Linked DNA regions of Arabidopsis thaliana. The protein of the gene in region 1 purifies or fractionates together with the protein of each later gene. This does not show direct contact. Each region holds a gene or a part of one and is shown on either strand. Other genes may lie near its edges.

Evidence for each region. The genes of interacting proteins can lie anywhere in the genome.
Region 2: the proteins of c-NAD-MDH1 (region 1) and AT2G20420 fractionate together in Arabidopsis thaliana (co-fractionation; one large-scale study listed by BioGRID). This does not show direct contact.

What each region holds. Positions count from the first base shown.
Region 1 is NC_003070.9:1,187,189-1,193,602, reverse strand, and holds c-NAD-MDH1 (Lactate/malate dehydrogenase family protein), read left to right. Parts: upstream 1-2,144; 5' UTR 2,145-2,335; coding exon 2,336-2,378; intron 2,379-2,697; coding exon 2,698-2,856; intron 2,857-2,962; coding exon 2,963-3,138; intron 3,139-3,295; coding exon 3,296-3,573; intron 3,574-3,662; coding exon 3,663-3,798; intron 3,799-3,890; coding exon 3,891-4,002; intron 4,003-4,090; coding exon 4,091-4,185; 3' UTR 4,186-4,608; downstream 4,609-6,414. Other genes in the region: AT1G04420 (NAD(P)-linked oxidoreductase superfamily protein), read right to left, coding at 1-143, 282-460, 543-678, 768-885, 1,030-1,190, 1,306-1,389, 1,569-1,664, 1,745-1,969; CRY2 (cryptochrome 2), read left to right, coding at 5,702-6,014, 6,119-6,343. UniProt on the Arabidopsis thaliana protein: Catalyzes a reversible NAD-dependent dehydrogenase reaction involved in central metabolism and redox homeostasis between organellar compartments.
Region 2 is NC_003071.7:8,802,455-8,809,578, forward strand, and holds AT2G20420 (ATP citrate lyase (ACL) family protein), read left to right. Parts: upstream 1-2,887; 5' UTR 2,888-3,119; coding exon 3,120-3,218; intron 3,219-3,401; coding exon 3,402-3,512; intron 3,513-3,594; coding exon 3,595-3,706; intron 3,707-3,803; coding exon 3,804-3,868; intron 3,869-3,963; coding exon 3,964-4,041; intron 4,042-4,150; coding exon 4,151-4,225; intron 4,226-4,331; coding exon 4,332-4,484; intron 4,485-4,567; coding exon 4,568-4,702; intron 4,703-4,791; coding exon 4,792-4,956; intron 4,957-5,042; coding exon 5,043-5,165; intron 5,166-5,254; coding exon 5,255-5,404; 3' UTR 5,405-5,717; downstream 5,718-7,124. Other genes in the region: AT2G20410 (RNA-binding ASCH domain protein), read left to right, coding at 107-221, 343-486, 596-663, 780-830, 912-971, 1,066-1,605, 1,699-1,740; RIC6 (ROP-interactive CRIB motif-containing protein 6), read right to left, coding at 6,213-6,671, 6,904-7,010. UniProt on the Arabidopsis thaliana protein: Succinyl-CoA synthetase functions in the citric acid cycle (TCA), coupling the hydrolysis of succinyl-CoA to the synthesis of ATP and thus represents the only step of substrate-level phosphorylation in the TCA.

The sequences.
Region 1 (6,414 bases):
ATGTCTTCTTTAAGTTGTTTTACCGATGTGGCCCCGATGATCGTGCTCGTCACAAAGGGCCTGTCACGTACAAACCCGAGTGCTAACTCAACCGGAGTTAAACCGTACTTCTTCGCCACCTCAACGTATTGTATGGTTGCTTCCTGAAATCAGAACAAAGATAAAATTGACCTCAAAACACTTTTACGAATATGGCTTTACAACTAGATTCGAGCTAATACTGTTTCTTAAATTGTTTTACGACATAAGAAGAAGTAAGCATAGTTGGATCAAGAAGAAACCTTGGCTAGTGATCCCTTGTAACGTTCCATATATCCTGGGAAAAGATTCAGCCTTGCATTTTTTGTAGCTTCTTGGTCTGTAGCCAAGTATTTCCCAGACAACGAGCCGCCTCCAAGAGGGGAATAAGCAAGCAAGCCAACATTGCAATTTTTTGGGTGGCATACTTCTACCAGATCAACTGTGGTTTTAACCCAAAACAAAAGAGTTTAGAACATGCTCCTCCGACACACTTGCTCTCAAGGTATTCTAGAAAGATTTACCTTCATACCGACATCTAACTAGCAAGCTGTAACCATTCTGGATGCTCACAATCTTTGGTAGTCCTTCGAGTTTTGCTGTGTTAACAAACTCCGTCACTCCGTATGAAGTTTCATTCGAGACACCGATATAGCGAACCTGTTGCAGAATTCGAGGAACACTTCAAAACTCTGTGTTTGAGGTTATATAACTCAATATAACATCTGATTTTTAAGGAGTAGCACTACCTTTCCTTCAACTATGAGATCCTGAAAGGCTCTTAGTTGCTCAGCGAATGGCACACTAGGTCTCCATTTCGACGTTTCATAGTAAAAATCACCGAAGAGTGGTACGTATCGATCTGGCCTGGACTGAAAAAAAGATCAGTGTCATGATTTTCTGACATTTGATGATGAAAAACGAAATATTTTGCGCATGAAATAGAAAGACACTTGCTCAAACAATGTAGAATATGAGTTAAGACATAAAGCAAAAATAAGGCGATGTTACCAGTGTATTTGAAGCAAGTCAATGTAATCAGTTCCAAGGCGCTTAAGACTTTTCTCAACACTTTCTTTGATATTAGCAGCATCTACACGCAGAATCTCACCACTGTCCCTTATGTAAGCTGACCTTTCTGAGTACCCACATACTTTAGTTGCCAAAACTATCTGTATACAGAAACAATGAACATCAATATCAATTTTTATAACTTCGATTAGGTTTTGCTGATATCATATACATTCGTGACCAATATGCATCCAAAGTATGATAAATGGTTGATACCTTGTCACGTTGCTGAGACTTCAACCAGCTACTGATATAAAGATCCGTTTTACCTTGCGTCTCCTTCTTCATCGGTATGGGATACTGGAAATAAACAATGATACTTGAAAATTTACCACAGACTAAGCAGATTCCAGAAAGCTAAACACAACAGTGCTAAATTCACCAGAATTATATATAAAGTATAAAACATTCACATAAACACTTGCAATCAAATTCACCAGGCAAGAAGAGAAAGATGAACAATGAAGATAAAAACTCACAGCTTCAGCAGTGTCAATGCAATTGATGCCCTCTTCAATTGCATAACTCAGCATCTCATGAGATTCTTTCTCAGTATTTTGCTCCCCAAATGTCATCTGAAATTCCAAATTTCATCAAAACTTCAAAATTGAACAATGGACTACAATTGCAGGAGATAAAGAGAGATTGTTCTTACAGTGCCCATAGTAACTTCGCTGATGTTGAGATCGGAATCTCCTAATTTCCTATACTCCATAGCATTCTTCGTCGACGCTTTCGCCGAAACTCTCAATATTCTCCTCCGAGCATTCGGCGATAGAGTAACACGGCGGCGCGTGAATGCCAAACGAAAGACTCCTCGAATGTTACTGCTGCTGACCACCGGAGTGACCGTTGAGTAGGTGACGTAAGATGACGCCATACCGGAGGTTGTCGTGGACGTGGTTCTTCTCGCCTTATCGCCACCATTATCTACTGTTTTGATTCACGTATTTGAATACTCTGGGCTAAACGATTTGGGCCTAATGTAAGAGGCCCATTAGAGTCAAAAATATATATTGAATAATATCTTGTTTTCCTAATATGATAGGTCTAATCTCAGATTTCGATTTATTTCTTCGAGATAATATGATTATATTAGATGACGTGGCGGTACATCCTTCGATATCTTCGATAAATACGCAAGAGTGAGCTTCACGGTCAGACAAAAGCTGACTCTACGCTCTCTCAAAAGTCGAATATCCCAAATTCGATCCGTTTTCCGGCGATAATCTCCGATCTAGATCCGATGGCGAAAGAACCAGTTCGTGTGCTCGTTACTGGAGCTGCAGGTATAACTTTCATCTATATCCGATTAGATCGTGTAACTTCTAGATCTCTGGCTAGTGAATCGCTTGCTGAATCTAGTCAGATCTCTGCATAGTATCTGGTTGTTCCATAGATCAATGAAATATAGGTCAACTCTTGTTCCGTTGGATTCAACGCTGACCAACGATTGATTGAGTTGGTCGCATATCTAATTTTAGTAAAAGTTATTTCATGGATCGAACTCTGATTTAGAAACCGTTGTTTATATAGTTGGATAGAGTTTAAGTTGTGACTTTAGATCTCCTCAGCTACTGAAAGTAACTATTGATTGTGATTATGCAGGACAAATCGGATATGCTCTTGTACCTATGATTGCAAGGGGTATCATGCTTGGTGCTGACCAACCTGTTATCCTCCACATGTTGGATATTCCTCCAGCTGCTGAAGCTTTGAACGGTGTTAAGATGGAGTTGATCGATGCTGCTTTCCCTCTTCTTAAAGGTAGTTAAGGGTTTTGTTTTGCTGTGGATATTTGCATTCCGTGTCATAAGTTGTTTTGTATAAGTGGGAAAGGAGAAGATGAATATTTGATGTGTATTATTATCAGGTGTTGTTGCTACAACTGATGCCGTTGAGGGATGTACTGGAGTCAATGTTGCTGTTATGGTTGGTGGTTTCCCGAGGAAAGAAGGTATGGAGAGGAAGGATGTGATGTCCAAGAATGTTTCCATCTACAAGTCTCAGGCTGCTGCCTTGGAGAAGCATGCCGCTCCTAACTGCAAGGTGATACGATCTGTTTGCTTTTTAAGTTAAATGAAGCCACTGCATCCAATCTTCTCTGTTCATTGGAGTGTAACAGATGCTTTGTGTTCTCTATTGGGTTCTAGTTTACGACTCTCTTGCTCACACATTCGCTCTCGTTTTGTCTTTTTTTTTTCAGGTTCTTGTTGTGGCCAACCCGGCAAACACCAACGCATTGATCCTCAAGGAATTTGCACCATCAATCCCTGAAAAGAACATCTCTTGTTTGACAAGGCTTGACCACAACAGGGCTTTGGGACAGATCTCTGAGAGGTTGAGCGTGCCAGTGTCTGATGTTAAGAACGTGATCATCTGGGGAAACCACTCATCCTCACAGTACCCAGATGTCAACCATGCTAAAGTGCAGACCTCGTCTGGAGAGAAGCCTGTCCGTGAGCTCGTCAAGGACGATGCATGGTATGTATAACATGCCATAGAACTTAAGACCCTTTCTCTTCTCTGGAAGCAAAATCTAGTTTCACTTAAATATATTGCTCATTCTGTAGGTTGGACGGAGAATTTATCTCTACAGTTCAACAACGTGGAGCTGCAATCATCAAGGCGAGGAAGTTGTCTAGTGCGCTCTCTGCTGCTAGCTCTGCTTGTGACCACATCCGTGACTGGGTCCTTGGAACTCCAGAGGTTCATAATAAAACTCTTCCCCGTTATTTGCAGTGCTGTTTTTTTGTAACAGTTAATCTAATATGAGTTCTTTCTTTGATTCAAATTGTCAGGGTACGTTCGTTTCCATGGGAGTATACTCCGATGGCTCTTACAGCGTTCCATCAGGACTTATCTACTCCTTCCCTGTAACTTGTCGCAATGGAGACTGGAGTATTGTCCAAGGTAAATATGACGCACTTACAAACTCAAATGCTCATCAATTATGAAATCCTAGATTCTGCAGACCCTAATGTGTATTTTGTTTGGTTAGGCCTTCCGATTGATGAAGTATCAAGGAAGAAGATGGATTTGACTGCAGAGGAGCTCAAGGAAGAGAAGGACTTGGCGTACTCATGCCTCTCTTAAACCCTTCTGGAGCAAAATTTTCATCTATAAGGTGTGAGATCAGTTAAAGCCTTTCAGGGCTTTGTCCGAATAAGAAGTGTGTTTGAAAGATCTCCAAACACTGTTTTATAACCTCTTTGGTCTCTTTGATGAGTATTGTCCCTGGTCTGTTTCTAAACCAGGATATCGTTTTTTTCAATGTGTCTGATTTGGTTTACCCATGAAAAGAAGAAAATTGGCAGTTGCATGGTTATCTTTTGCGATTATTTTTTTCTGCTTTAGCAATTAGCCCAAAATTGATGAGCTCTTCGATAATGGGTTTGTGCAATTGTGATTTGTGAGGAATGGTGTTATTGTGTTGCAATTGCAAAAAGAAATGCTACTCTTGCAGATTCATACCAAAACCAAATCACTAGATTAAACTGAAATTCTAATGTGGATTATTTTAATTTTACTTCTATTTTTCTTCACCCAAATATTTTATAACCAAACACCAAGTTGACACCAAAATATACATCCAAAAAACTTAGATTGCTTCTATTTTACGACTATCCGAAATCGAATCATAAACCGTAGGCAATGGTCCATTAATAAGGGGTATACGAGGATTCAAAGTTTGAGAGAACTTTTTTATCTTTACCTTTTTCCTTTTGTAAAGTAAAAGCAGTGGATTTTGATTATAGATTCTACTTGGTAATGACTAATGAGAATCAAGTTCTCACCTTTAAGCCATATAGACTTTAGATATTTAATGGATTCTACAAAAGTGGGCATGACCAGAATCGAGTTCATGAACCACCGTCCTCGGCCCCAACGTTAAAAAACTTTTTTCTCTAGCATAAGAAGATAAGAGTATCTTCACTGCGCTTTAGGCCCACTCAACATTCAAACAAAATTCGATCTCTTATAAAAAAATATCTCACAAGAGAAAGTTCGTACATGATCCCGATAAAATCGTAGATGAGCAAATCAAAGATGAGATGTCGGTAAAAAAAACGCTATTATAAGAACACACGCCACTAGTTGTGGATAAAGTTGTCTACTTTTGTCTCGTTGTGATTATTATATTGCACAATTATTAACATTCATACTCTCATATGGGTATTGTTTTTGGTCTCCGTTAGATCTCAAATCTTTAACTTTGCATACCCAAAATAGGAAGAAAGAAGAGTCAAGTCACTAAAATAACTTTCACAGTCTTTGATTCGAAGATCTTTGTCGCCGAGAGATATCCACTCTGATTTGAGTTCTGGTAAAAAGTTTCCAGCTTTTGATTTTTGTTTCTCTCAATTGAATTTCTCTTGCTTGCTCTGTTTAAAAGGATTAGGATTAAATCGAATCTCTCTCTGTTATGTTTTTTTGTAGATTATTTTGGATTTTAGGACTCAAAGATTACAGATTTCTTATCAATCATTCTCTGTTATTGTTATAGAACTATTCTCTGGAGGAGGTTGAGGTCTGAAATCATGGAACAACTTGGTTAGAGTGTGGAATTTTAGCTGATTTGATCTTTGATTCATCTGTGATCATAATAACTATGAAGATGGACAAAAAGACTATAGTTTGGTTTAGAAGAGACCTAAGGATTGAGGATAATCCTGCATTAGCAGCAGCTGCTCACGAAGGATCTGTTTTTCCTGTCTTCATTTGGTGTCCTGAAGAAGAAGGACAGTTTTATCCTGGAAGAGCTTCAAGATGGTGGATGAAACAATCACTTGCTCACTTATCTCAATCCTTGAAGGCTCTTGGATCTGACCTCACTTTAATCAAAACCCACAACACGATTTCAGCGATCTTGGATTGTATCCGCGTTACCGGTGCTACAAAAGTCGTCTTTAACCACCTCTATGGTATATACTCTTTCATCTCTTATTCAAAGGATATATATTCTTATTAAGTTAGTGTAGTCTAAGTGCAACTGAGGTTGATGCGATCACGTTTTTCTTTGTTGTAGATCCTGTTTCGTTAGTTCGGGACCATACCGTAAAGGAGAAGCTGGTGGAACGTGGGATCTCTGTGCAAAGCTACAATGGAGATCTATTGTATGAACCGTGGGAGATATACTGCGAAAAGGGCAAACCTTTTACGAGTTTCAATTCTTACTGGAAGAAATGCTTAGATATGTCGATTGAATCCGTTATGCTTCCTCCTCCTTGGCGGTTGATGCCAATAACTGCAGGTAAAACCTTAAAGAGTATTACTTAAAAGCTAAAACGTTTTTGATTTCTTCAGGACATAAGCGGTAGTAAA
Region 2 (7,124 bases), on another chromosome or scaffold:
TTCTAGGTTTGAGCTTAATTGGATATATCCTTGGTGATTGGTTGATTTGGATTCGATTAGGTTTAAGTATAGGTTTTGATATTTGGATTTTGGAAGAAAAAGAGTGATGAGTCGTGGGAATTACAAGAACCCGTGCTTGACCATGCATCAGCCATGGGCATCACTTCTCGTCCATGGTATCAAACGCATCGAAGGCAGATCCTGGCCTTCCCCAATTCGAGGTAAAAAAAACCCTAATTTTGAACTCAGGGATTCGACTGAGATTTAATTTGAATTTGAAACACTGTGATAATTGCATAACTTTGAAGAAGAAGATGATGTTGTTTTTAAACATGTAAATAGGCCGTTTATGGATTCATGCTGCAAGTAAAGTACCTGATGAAGCTACTATCAAAGCAATGGAAGAGTTTTACCAACAAATTTATGCTGTTGATGGGATCACTGATATTCAATTCCCCCAACATTACCCTGTTTCAAGACTAATTGGTATCGTTGTTTACTAATCTCCATATTTGAAAGTCTAAGTTCCATGTTATAGTATAAGCAAGACCTGATTTTGCTTGGAACATATTTGAATACGGTTTCGTTGGTATAGGATGTGTTGAGGTTGTTGGATGTGTCACCTCCGATGAGCTTCAGAACTGGGATGCTTTACCTCAAGGGGTACAACAATTTTCCTTATTACTGTGTTCTATTCTTTGACATTGAAAACAGCTCGTTATCGATGATTCTTTAGTATAATAAGCAAAAACCTCAACTGTTGTTTTGGTATGTAATAGGTGAGGCTTGAAGGACAAACTAACTTTTGTTGGCTATGTGAGAAGCCACAGGTGAAAGTCACTTCATCTTTTGGCTGTTACTGTTTTGTTTAGATTGACTTATTTGACATTTGATTCTGTGAACTCTTCCAGAAACTGATTATTCCATTTGAGATGCGTGGGTACCAGGGCGTCTATAACTTAGAGAATAAGGTAATCTTGCTGTTCTTCAAAGCCTAGGGATTGGTGGGTTCTTGTTGTAGTATAAATTAGTACCAGTTACTTACTGTATTTCTAAATGAAACAGATTTATGTAGCAGCAGCTAGAGGTCTTATGCCTTCTCAAAACTCTTTTAAGGTGAAATTCCCTCTTCCTGACCCAAAAGACCCGTTTTCCTTAAAACCTGGTTCTATTCCTTGTACAATGCAAGAGAAGAAAGAACTTGATTCAAAGCAAGTTACCAGCCTCACAGCTGCAATCAAGCAAGTTACCAGCCTCACAGCTGCAATCGCCGGTGCAAAAGCAGCGGCGACACAATTTTCTAAGAAGGGACAAAGTCTCCAAACAAATAATATATTTGATTACACAACAAGAAGCAAGAGCAAAGTTATTGAAGATGAAGCAGCAGAATCCCTAGATAACCCGGTTCTTGGTTCTGGTGGAACGTCTGACCGTACTTATAGAACAAGAAGCAAGAACAGAGGCACACAGATGGGTGAAGAAGTATGTAGTGAAAGCAGCAACAGCAGCAGCAAAGTTGAATCTAGTCAAAGAAGTGCAGTCACAAAGAGTGAGGACAGGAATACAAGAATTGGTGAAAGAAGGTTTGATCCTGGATCTGCCCGGGTACGTTTATTATCTTACATTAAGCGATAATTACAACAATAATTGTTGACTTTGTTGTTGTCTGATTTTATTTCACATGTGGAATTATTTCAGATCATGGCCGCTGCAATTAGGAACTTGAAGCCACCTTCTTGATCTAATGCGTCAAGGTTGTACCATATTTTGCATTCTTTCTAAAACATGTTCATTTCAAAGTTTGAGAAGTTCGTTTTAGAGTTAGTTTATAGGTTTATTGTATACACATTCAATTTAACTTATATGAGAGAATAATCATGTGGACTAATAAATACACAGAGCAATGAGTTTTGAGTAGACTGTTTAGTCGAATTTTACTAAATTACTATATTTTGGTCAGATTTAGAAGAATGTTTATATTTTTGGGGGGTTTGTCCCACATCGGTAGTTTCAAAATATCAGTTGTGTATATATTTAGTCGAAAACGAAAACAAGTAACAATAGTCATTGGACAAAGTGAATGGGTCACATGGGCTTGTCTAAGTTCCGACCCAGGAAAGTCCCCGGGCCACTTTTCGCAGAGATGCGGCCTCGGTAACGAGAGAATCATGCGGTGGAGAGATTCTATAAGCTGAGACGCGTGTGTGGAGCTTCTGTTGTCTCTCCGTCGATGACATCATGGCCGTTCGATTCACGACAGTTATTCACTTGGTCCTCATCGGACTAACTGAACGGGGCTTATGTTCCAATGACAACAATTTTTTTCTTTTTGAGTAATCCCGGTTTACTCAACTTACTCAACCGTACCGGTGGAAGATTCCTTACAGTAATACTAAAGCTTTTGGCTTAGCTCATTTTGGTGATGATAACAGTAATATCATAAGTACATAATAAATAATTGAAACTTTTGTAAGTATCCTCATTTTTTCAGAAAGTAAATAATATCAAATGTATTGAGAAAACAATAAATGATCATTTTTTTATTTTAATTAGACTCAAAATTAAATAACTGGAAATTAAAAAACCAAATAAACTGAAAATTATTATCTAAAATACAGTAACTAAAAATTTGTCTTGTCGATAAGTCGGATAAAATTTATTCATATAAATATTTAGTCATATACAAGTAAAATAATACTACAAATAATACACAATCAGTCGATGTTATATACAATAAAATTATAGATTTATAAAGGAAAAAATTATCCGGCGATATATCTGATGTCAATCTCTAGTGGGTTAGCATTTTTATTGAAAAATTGTATTGCTTAGTTTTTTTATTGTTATATTGTTAGTGAATTAAAATGGTACTTTGGTATTTTCATATATAGACTTTTTGAAAATAAAATCTTAGATTTTTTCTAACAAGAGTTACCAAAAATATTTTGGAATTAAATGAGCCGGCGACATAGAAGAATAGAGAGGGTTAAATTGAAAATTCATAAAGTAGGAAAAAATTAGGGTTAGACTCGATCATTCATAGCTGCGACTATTCTCTGCTCTTTCTACATTTTCTCATTTTCTCTTGGGCTACTTTTCGACTACTAACAAATCCAACGATGAGGGGATTGGTGAACAAGCTCGTGTCCAGATCTCTCTCCATCTCCGGGAAATGGCAGAACCAACAGCTTCGTCGTCTCAACATCCACGAGTATCAGGTTCTTCTTCTCTTCATTTCCATTTGATAGTTGCCTAGATTCGCTTTTGTCAAGTCAGAATTCGAGTACGATCTGTGTCTTTGTCTGTTGTTTCTGTGTTGATCCACTGATTGATTTGTGGTTGATAGAATTCTCTGGGTTTAGGATAATGTAAAGTTTGTATTGTGATTCTGATACAACCAGGGAGCTGAATTGATGGGGAAATATGGAGTTAATGTGCCGAAAGGAGTAGCTGCTTCTTCGTTGGAAGAAGTTAAAAAGGCTATTCAAGATGTTTTCCCTAATGAAAGCGAGGTAAATTCAGTGAGGGATTCGATTCTAATCTCTATTATTAGTTGTTGTCTAATTGAAAGAGTGTCATTTTCGTGTGATACAGTTGGTTGTTAAGAGCCAGATTTTGGCTGGTGGAAGAGGTCTTGGAACATTCAAGAGTGGTCTTAAGGGTGGTGTTCACATTGTTAAACGTGATGAGGCTGAAGAGATTGCTGGTATTGTACAGGATTTCTTGTTTGTGGCTTTCTGGAGTCTGTTTTTTGTTGTTGTTGTACAAGTTATTGATCTATTTCAAATCTTTATTACTTGTAGGAAAGATGCTAGGACAAGTACTTGTCACCAAGCAAACTGGTCCTCAAGGCAAAGTAGTTAGCAAGGTTTGTTATCTGTTATTCATGATTGGTGTTTTTTCTTCTATTATTGTCACTGCTCTTGCACCTTTGTTTATTCATTGTGTCTTCATTTTGAGCAGGTTTACTTGTGTGAGAAATTGTCACTCGTCAATGAGATGTACTTTTCCATTATTCTGGACCGTAAATCTGCTGGACCGGTATGCTACTACGCAAATGATGAGCTGCTGCTATTCATTTCCCTACTTCTAGGCATGCTGTTTTCATACCCTGCTGTAATATCTAAAACGCTTTCCTTTCCTATATCAGTTGATCATTGCCTGTAAAAAGGGTGGTACCAGTATTGAAGATCTTGCTGAGAAGTTCCCTGACATGATCATCAAGGTTGTTACTGTTTGATTCGTATTTGGTGGTCTGATCTCCAGTAAATATCATTCTGAGATTCTTTCTCATGCGGGTTTTTGACACCTCAAGTCATGGTTTTGCGTAGGTACCAATTGATGTATTTGCAGGAATCACTGATGAAGATGCTGCTAAGGTTGTGGATGGTCTGGCTCCCAAAGCTGCTGACAGAAAAGATTCGATTGAACAAGTGAAGAAGCTATACGAACTCTTCCGCAAGACTGACTGCACAATGTTGGAAGTGAGTTCTCTCTCACTGTCTTTTTTCTACACACTTCTTCAGTTATAAATATCTTTTGTTGAACCTCCAAATTTCTCTTGTAGATCAATCCCCTTGCGGAGACATCAACTAATCAATTGGTAGCTGCTGATGCCAAATTGAACTTCGATGATAATGCTGCGTTCCGACAAAAAGAGGTTTTCGCCATGCGTGATCCAACACAGGAGGATCCACGAGAGGTCTCTGTCTATCTCTTGTATCATCAAGAAAGCCATTGTTATGTTAATTCGATAGGATGTTAAAAGGAATAGTGTGTTGTGTCTCATAGGTGGCTGCTGCTAAAGTTGACCTGAACTACATCGGTTTAGATGGAGAGATTGGTTGCATGGTGAATGGTGCTGGATTGGCCATGGCAACCATGGACATCATTAAATTACACGGTGGAACACCCGCCAATTTCCTTGACGTTGGTGGAAATGCTTCTGAGCACCAGGTAAAAGGAACCTTCTTTCTTTCTTCACTTTTGGGAATCATTGGAATGAAAACCAATTTTAATAGAGGTTTGTGTCAAAAAATAAGGTGGTGGAAGCGTTTAAGATACTGACATCGGACGATAAAGTGAAAGCAATCTTGGTGAACATATTTGGTGGGATAATGAAATGTGATGTGATTGCTAGTGGAATCGTGAACGCTGCAAAAGAGGTGAGTGAGAAACAACCTTGTTACCATAATATTTCATATATTCATGATTGAAAATAAATCCGAGTGTTTGTGTGGAATGGCGAGGACAGGTCGCATTGAAAGTGCCAGTGGTGGTTCGTCTAGAAGGAACGAATGTTGAGCAGGGAAAGAGAATCCTCAAGGAAAGTGGAATGAAACTCATAACAGCTGATGATTTGGATGATGCAGCTGAGAAAGCGGTTAAAGCTTTAGCTCACTAATCTCTCTATATATACCAAAAGCCGGTTTGTTAATTGTTTTGTGGTTGACGCCCAATTTACACTTTCTTGCGGATATCATTTCCTCAAACAGATCAATAATGAACTGGTCTCCTTTTTTTGTGTGATCCATCCAAAGAGATTCAAATCAGAATTCTCAATATCTTTTTGTATTTAACCAACTCATATGGTTGATACTAGGGTTTCAAGTTTATCTCATACGTACTGTTCCTATCATGAATAAAAATCGTTTTTGTGGGAAGCCACACTATAGCTGTCACTGAAACAACAAAATTAATCCCTCTCTCTACAAAAGGCTTTCACAAAACAGAGCTGTCCTCTGTTTCCAATTTAACGGTCAAAACGATAAACTTATTTTTTGATAGAATGTTAATTATATTACCAAAAGGAAAGAAGATTATTTACAAAAACTTTTGACCAGGATTGCAGCTCCATTGTTGTAGTGATGCAGCTCTATTGCTGAGGGCTATGATGAAGAGGAAAATCACACTAACACTACTCAGCTCTTGTCCAAGAAGTTTTTATTCATATATAGGGTTTCTAGTAAAGTGAAAGATGCTGTTGATTTGTTCTGTAAGAATGCTCTTTTATATTTATGATCGACGTCAATGATGATCTATGTTCAAGTGATTTGGATGATAGCACCGAAAAATATTTGTCTAAATTCTCCTTGCATAGTTAATAATAGTACAAGAATGAACAAGAAAATCTAACAATTGGTGTGTTGTGTTCAATGAAAATTAGCCATTTGGAGCTAGCAGCAAAGTCTCTATATATGTCGTCTCTCCTTTCAAAAATCATCTCTATTGTCGAATTGAGGCATAGATCTCACAGAACCAGTCTCAGACATATATTCCGACATGTTATCGACATCAGATCTTCTTGTCGATCTTGATGACCCTCCATTAACCGCGGTTTCTTTCGTCGACTTCTTCTTCCTCCTAGATTTCTTTGGAATTTCCGGTAATCCACTAGGCCAAGAAGACAACTCGTCTTGTTCTTCAGTGGCTTCCTTTGGTCTCCTCGACGATGACGATGTCCCTTTGTTAGAAGAGCGACGTTTAGTTTTGTCTGATGATTTGTCTTTTGTCGGAGAACCTTTCTCGGACGCTGCTTTCCTCGTAGATTTTGGTAGGTTTGGCAAATCTCTAGACCGACCACCATATTCCGACATACATTTTATGGAGGAATCATCTTCTCCGACTCCTTCAGCAGATTCGAATCCCCCGCCGGAGTTGAACTCAGTCATCTTTCAAATCACATAACATTAACCAAATCAATTCGACATTTTCTGAAAACGTTTTAGGTCAAATTTTTAATATATATGACCTCGTAGATTTGAGTCAAGTATTAATCTAGAGCTCACATCCATCCAAATATGCGTAGGATAATAAAACAATCTTTCATTTGCCTATTTTATCACGATTATTGTTTACGCCTTTTAAGAATTACCAAAGAAGTAGAAAAGAGTAAAAACATACCCAGCTTGGTGCGGTGGCATTAGCGGATGGTCCATCCCAACCGATATGGGCAACATGTTTTACGTCCGTTGGATTTCCGATTTGTATTTCTTCTTCTTTTTCACTTTCTATCATCATTAAAAGAAAGAAACAAGAAAGTATAATCAATCATTTAGATTCATCCTCAATCCATATAAACGTACTTGCAATGCATGCATGCAAATTTTCTACGTGATTTGCAT